Linked DNA regions of Drosophila melanogaster. The protein of the gene in region 1 interacts with the protein of each later gene in a pairwise test. Each region holds a gene or a part of one and is shown on either strand. Other genes may lie near its edges.

Evidence for each region. The genes of interacting proteins can lie anywhere in the genome.
Region 2: the proteins of REG (region 1) and Teh3 interact in a two-hybrid assay, tested with the Drosophila melanogaster proteins (one large-scale study listed by BioGRID).

The regions. Positions count from the first base shown.
Region 1 is NC_004354.4:13,210,192-13,213,946, forward strand, and holds the start of REG (proteasome regulator gamma), read left to right. Parts: upstream 1-2,133; 5' UTR 2,134-2,201; intron 2,202-2,258; 5' UTR 2,259-2,397; coding exon 2,398-2,767; intron 2,768-2,964; coding exon 2,965-3,332; 3' UTR 3,333-3,755. Other genes in the region: sno (strawberry notch), read right to left, coding at 909-911.
Region 2 is NT_037436.4:4,182,909-4,186,663, forward strand, and holds the start of Teh3 (tipE homolog 3), read right to left. Parts: upstream 1,756-3,755; coding exon 409-1,755; 3' UTR 399-408; intron 1-398. Other genes in the region: VhaM9.7-c (vacuolar H[+] ATPase M9.7 subunit c), read right to left, coding at 3,606-3,755.

The DNA.
Region 1 (3,755 bases):
TAATTTAGATAACAAATATGTGCATTTTGAGAGGAATTAAAGTTATTTTCTTTGCACGTAAACAAAAGCATAAGCATTTCACAAATCAATCACTGTAAAGCTGCGGTACTTGTAAAACACTTGAGTAGTCAAAAGCTGGCATAAGTATATCAAATTTCCAGTAATTGATGATACAAATAAATATTATTAACATATTTTATAAAAAATGATTCTTTGAATAGATTAGCAACACTATTACGGACTATATAATTTAAATTACATTTGTAGAAATAGAAATTGTATGGTCATAGTTTTGATAACATTCAAAACGATGCCGCCCCCTGAAAAATAGTTGTCATCCTCAATTCAATGATGCACCATAGACCCATAGCCCCATACCCCGCCCATGGTCTTAACCCACATGTTGCCCCTGAGTCGCATGGCCTTAACCCTAACCTAGCGCAACTTTTGTCGACTGAATTCGTTTAACTCGTGTGCGGGGGAAAAAACGCCAAAACTAAACTCAGCGTGTGTGCACGAAAGAGAGGGGCGAGCGCTAAGAGGGAGTATGAGAGGGAGAGAAAAACACATGGTTCCAGGCCACGCGAATCTGCGATATAAAATGCATCCTTAGAAATTACAGAAGAAAACAATTGCAGATAAAAAAAACAGCAACAACAACAAAATGGGTGGACGAGGAAAGAGCGAAAGGCGCAAGAAAAGGAGAAACAACAATTATTGAATGAGTTGGCTACTGCTCCTTCTTCTCATTATTATTCTCCTTCATCAGCTTCTGCAGCCGCTTTGTTTTTGTTTTATGCATGTGTGTGTGGGTAAATGTGAGTGTGTCAAAATTTAGCAACAAAGAAATTTATATTAAGTCATGCTATTGACGGCAACAACAAAAAAGCCAGCTAACTTAAACTTACCATTTTGATTCTCCTGCTTACTGCTAACGGTGGTTGTTCTTGATGTTCGTCCCTCCGATGGTTCTTGTTGTTGTTGTTAACCACAAAAAAAAAATCAACAGACCGCGCACCCACGCGTTTTTCGTTCTTTTCTTGGTTTTTTTTTGTGTTTTGTTTAAAATTTATATATTAATTTCTTTTTAACAATGCGTTTTTGATGCTGTCAACGGAACAGAACAATTGTGCGGCAAGTTAGATAGCAAATGCAGCAAATATAAAAGGCTGGACTCCGCAATTTTCAGCGCGTTAGAAATGTTTTTGTTGTTGTTGTTCTTCCTGTTGTTATTGGTGTTGCGATAATGACTGCATGCGTGTGTGCATGCGTGTGTGTTGTTGTTGTTGAGTGTGTTTTTCTTTTGTTGCTGCACGCGGTATTTCGCTTCGGATAAATTTGTTCGTATGCGTTGTACCGCGCAATACACGCAAAACGAGGAATCGGAATAAAGGAGGAAGGAAACGAGAACGAGACGAGAATGAAGCGACGAAGCCGAAAACACACGTAACATGCCAACTATCGCAACTAACGAGATGCCAACTAGATAGAGCTGGAAAAACATCGATGAGAATCGATAATGGTGAAGCGAGAAAACGTCAGTTTGACGATTATTGATAAGAATGCCGATGTATACTAAAACTTATATTTGGGCACACTTATTTATAGCGTGTTTGCTCTAAAAATATTAATAGCTTAATATTACTTATAATATATATATATGGAAAATATTTTAAAAATATAGATATTTAAATGAAAACATTTTAAATTGCACAAAGGGAGACATAATAAACTTACTTGGTATTTAAACAAATCTATCGGTCTGGCACGCGGTGCACACAAGACTATCGATAAATGGCGCGCGTCTTATTTCTTTATATTTCATGATATATATCCGTTAAATTCTAATCACGTTACAACAAAGTATATGCAAGTTTAACATGGTAAATGAGAAGCGAGCTTCAGCTGTTGCATTTAAATAAATGATGCCAACTGCAATGTACATTAATGCATTTAAATATGTTTTGCCAACTTTAATGTTCAGCTAATTTGTTTATGAAACTGAAAGTAATTAGAAGACTTTCAATCTAAAAAAAGTATAGAAAAAATATATATTGACATTCAAGATATTTAAGATACTTGTGGGGTATTAATTTGCAAAATTTCTGCAAACTTCGACGCTATCGATAAGCATCGATTATTCTTTTTCTTCCACCTCTAGCACCACATGCGTGTTGTTGCTTGGGCATCAAAATTTGTCGGTAAGTCTGGTTTTCCCGCTTTCAATTTCGCAATCCGCCGACACAAGTCCCTAAAAGTCCGCCGATTTCAGACGGTCCGCGTTGCTGATTGTTATTGAGAAGATAAGGAACGAGAAGAACCGGTACTACGCCAGGAGACAGGACTCAGGATCAAAGGCTTCCACGGACACGAAAAGGAATCCACATAGCTAACGAAATGCCTAACGACACTGTGGTAAAGGTGCAGGAGTACAAGGACTCGTTGATCCTCAAGGCAGAGCTGCTAATCACCAAGGGGTTCCCGGAGAATATCGTCCGGCTGAACGAGCTGCTGGCCACGCCGATCTTCAACGAGCGCAACTTCGAAGAAGTGCACCAGGACCTCAACATCCCGGTCCTGCCGCCTCTCCTGGTTAAAAACGAGTTGGAGGATCGTGACAGTCTGCCCACCAAGCGCCAGCGCGTGGATGTCATCGTCTCTGGGCAGCCTGTCATGGGTCTGCCCGCCGGTACAGTGCCGTGCAACAAGCCGCTCTGCGAGATGATCAAGGTCGTCAAGCCTATCATCAGGAAGCTTGTGGAGGATTGTAAGTACACCGTATATTCAAGCGTCTCAACCTAATAAATGTTTTTATGCTATTCAAGAGCCCCTTCAATTTTCCTAAAACAATGAATTCCAAGAATTTTTACATTCGAACGGTACAAATGCCAGTAGCTAAAGTTTTGCCTGACATTAAGCTTTTTAATGAATACCTAGTAATTTCTGAATTGATTTCTTTTGCAGCCAATCTACTTAAGATGTGGATCTCCTTTATGATACCCAAGATCGAGGATGGCAACAACTTTGGCGTCTCCATTCAAGAGGACACGCTTGCCGAAATTCAAACTGTGGAATCCGAGGCGGCCGCCTTCTTTGACCAGATATCGCGCTATTTCTTGTCGCGCGCCAAGGTGGTGTCCAAGGTGGCCAAGTATCCGCACATCGATGATTATCGGCGCGCAGTCGTCGAACTTGACGAGAAGGAGTACCTCAGCTTGTGGCTGGTCGTTTGTGAGGTCCGCAATCGCTACTCCTCGCTGCACGACATTGTTATTAAGAACCTCGAGAAGCTAAAGAAGCCGCGCTCCTCAAATACCGAAAGCCTGTATTAGGCTAGGTATTTCCGAAGCCCGAGCCTCAACTTTTTTTTTTCCTTTCCATCATCTTACTTTTCAATCAATAATCAGCCCGTAGAGCGGACGGTCAGCAATTCTTGTCGCTACTCAAAAAGCTAAGATTTTCCAATTCGGTTTACAAACATCAAAATTCTTTAATTGAAGAGCAGTGATTGAACAATAGCTGTAGCCTAACTACCATCAACTATTAATCCATTTGTACTACGTCTAGAATGTAATGTTGAGATTGGCGTACAATACAAGAAACCGATGCTGTATAGATTCCACTAATAGCTATAGCTATGCATAAAAAGAATAGGCGAGCTCCATTGACACATTTTTTCAACATTTCCTAATGTAAATTTATAACACGGGCGCCCCTCATACGGAAAATGTCCTTAAAAATGTGTGAAATATAAA
Region 2 (3,755 bases), on another chromosome or scaffold:
AATTAAAGATAATAAGGGCAAATTAGGGAACTACCTAAGTTTCAGAATTTCAATAATATGGATTCTTTGAATATAACTATACTAATTGCTCTTCTAAAAAGGAGTTAGGATGGGTATAGTCATTATTTTTGTTGCAATTTTTAAGAACATGTCGTGGGAGTATAACACCTGACTAATATCCCTTCGGTTCTAGTATCTAATGATATCTTATAAGGTGGAATAAATCTAGACTTTTCTACTTTCTTTGGAATTCGAAACAAGGAATATTGAAAATAGAGACCTAGAACACCTGGTAGACCTCTCACATGTGGGCTACCGCGAAGACTGCAAGTCATCAGAGAGAATTCATTATAGAGACACGATGTCCAGATATTAGAGTAGCGAAATATAGAGCTTACGTGACGGATCTCATAGGGCCATAACCTCATCGCCGCCGCCCCCGCCCATGTCGCCGTTGGTGGGTGCGCCCACGTTGTTCTTATTCAGGACCGTCTCCGTGTCCACACATCCTTTGAAGCGCATCTTGGCATCGTCGCCCACGTAGACGGTGGTCTGGCACATGATCAGGATGGAACACGAGACCACGAACAGAACCGATGGCACTACCGAGGCGAACACAAACTGGCGATAGGTGACCTCCAGGTCGAATCGGGCCACCACCACGTCCTTCTTTCCGGGCGAATAGAAGCACGGGAAGCGGGCCCGGGCATTGTGGTCGCTGCCATCGCGTCCGAAGTCCTTGAGGAACTCCTTGCACTCGTCCATCAGAGTGTTCACACACCCCTCCAGATTGATCATCAGCTTGGACTCGTTGGAAATGGTGAGGTCCACATCGGGTGGTGCTATTTCCGGCACTGGAGTGGCCACCGACACGTGCAGGTGGCTCAGATATGTGAAGTTGGTCAGATCGCTGAGCATATTGGTCTCCAGCGTGGAGCCATTGATGCAGTCCACCGCATCCACCTGGTCCGAGGTGTGCCTGATGAAGTAACACGATGTCATTGCTACATTTTCGCTTGACTCGTTCCACACCTCCTCCAGAGTTTCGGCATTGATGGCATTCTGGCACTGCGACAGGTAGACCTTGTCCCCGCTGAGGACCACCACGTTCTTGTTCCGTGTTGGGATGTCCACGCACCTTCGGTCACAGTTATAGGGAGTACGGATCTTCCGGCACGTTCCTCGACTGCAGGAGTACAGCCCGCTGATGTCCATGCAGTTGATCTTTCCCCGCCTGCCGGAACACTTGACTGGTGCATCACTGTTGTGGAAGATGCACTCGAAGGCATCCGTGATGTTCAGACACTGGCCAGCGGTGCAATTGAAGGTGCCCGTGAGATTCTTGCACTCATCATTGATGCACCTGGCCTTGTCCGCGCGATCCTGGTCGATCCCGTAGCACGTTTTATTGGCCGAGTTGGTGCAGTTCTGGAATATGAGATTGCTGCCATTGCTGCGCAGATTCACATAGATCTGGATGCAGGCTCCGGAAGTCTTGCTCAGACACCACTCGCCACAACTGCCCCACTCGCAGTTGTCCTTGTTCACCGCCCGCGTGGTGGTGCACATCACCGGCGTGGGATCGATGCCACTTTTGAAGGCCCTGGTTGAGGGCATATATATGGCCACCGTGAGGTAGACGAGAGCCACCGAGCTGAGCACCAGGGTCATCTGGCAGATGCATATGGTGCCGCATATTCGCGTGTCCTGCGGTGGAACCACCAGGTCCTCAACGGGCACCTTTTTCTTGCCCATTTTTTAACGCGCGACTACCCTGTAATTCCAAGTAGCAAGTGGGTGGTGGTCACTGGTGCCTCCTCTGGTTAATCCCTGTGCTGGTTAATCCCTCGCGTGCAATCCAATCCAATTAGAAGCTCGTCATGTCGGTTTTTAGTCTATCGATTTAGCTGCAAAGCTGCGTGGGCGGTTTTGTATGTTGTGCGGTTATATAACCCTGCGTAGGTTGAGATTTTCCACCGACTTTTCAATGGGTCCACAAAAAAAGGGAAAACTGGTTACTCTGCAGGCTGCGCACGTTTCCAGCTGGAGGACACGTTCCTTGGATAGGCCACAAACCTATCGATTTTTGGCTAGCTGACCCCACAGAAATTCACTTTAATCACTGGGCCCATCCATACGCGTTGGTTGCATCACGTGCCAGTTGATTTTCCTGTCGATTTGGAGATAGAATTCACACAGTTCCAGGAATTCCGCTTCTTTTTACAATTATCTGGCTATTATTGGGATTTATAATTTATGTACAATTATTTCTTAATTCTCGAGCAGTGCTGTTCTGTGGTAATTATTTTTTCCCTTCGAGTTACTGGCAGCTGGTGGCTCGTGACCCAAGGCTTTCTGCTCCGCACTGGCGACTGCATTCGGCTCGGCTCTGGGTCTCCGGATTTCACAGCTCTCTAGTAGTGCTCCAGCTCTCCGGCTTCTCCTCACTGACCGCCGACAACATGGCACACATCGTGGCGGGTCTCGTGGAATTCGCTACTCTCCGCTTTTGGCATAAATCTCGGCTCTGCGCGCGCACTTTTATTGCAAAATCAATAGTTCCGCATTCACATATTGCTGAAAAGAGCAGGACACCCCGCTCCCCTGCTGCTCCTCGAATACCCCGCTCTCTCGTTTCCCTGCCCACAACCGCCAAGTTGGCTCCGCTCGGGCCATTCCCATTCCCTGCCAGCGTTTCCATTGATTAAGTCGGCCTCCACATGGCCAAGAGTGCAAGTGCACCGAGTGCGCCATGTGCGGGGACTTTGTGTTTTTGCTCCAGTTATGGTCAACCACCGGGCACGCCCCCTTCCACATTAAGGCGAAAATACAATAACCCTATTCGGATGCATTGTTCTAAAAATAACATAAATTGCACTTCCGAAATGAAACATTTTCATACTAAACAAACTAAACTATATAATGGGAAAAAAGAATTCTGAAAAACAAATATAAATTAAGAGAAACATAATATTTAAGCTAATATATGAACTATAGATTTCGGGAAAAGCTAAATGGGGCGTAAACTTATAAATATACATTGCTAGACATTTTTGGTTTTCAATGTAAATACTAAAAACTAATAATAAATAAACACGAATAGGAAAATAATACGAAAAAATTGTTCTATATTTGCCAATAGCTAAATCACAAATACAATGACTGATTAGTAAATTATCTACACTACGGAAAAATAGGTAAATAATAATCTGACTACAAAAATCGCTCATGTGGCAAGTTTGTTGAGAATTAAATTGCAATAATTGGATTTTTGGGTGGAATACATGGCTTATGTTTTGCAGTAAACATAAAGAATATGGTGATCAGAGATATTGAGCTATAAGCAACAACAAAATGTACAGTGAAAGTTTACGTCCAGAGGTTAATGTGGTTAGTTTGGAAATAGTGGGGCGTATCTGGGGCTTGGATAGCCGTAGCCCAACCTTGTCCACTTGCTGCCAGTATTGAAGTACAAAAAGGGTTTGGCGAAGCCACTGCTTCCGTGGTTTCACCGACTGTGTGTGATGTGGCTTAAGATCCGGAAATACGCGGAAGAAGCAACCGCCAAAGATTAGCTAGGTGGGAGATTCCTATGTGGGCTTTCCTTATCCCTCCTTGATGGGATTTCCCCAGGACGAGGCAATGATCCGAATGGTGTTTCCATTGAGTTTCGGCCCCAGCAGTGGATTCAGTTGCGCCAAATAGCAGCACAGCCAGAAAAGCCAGCAGACGACGGCGGTCAGAAGGAAAATGCA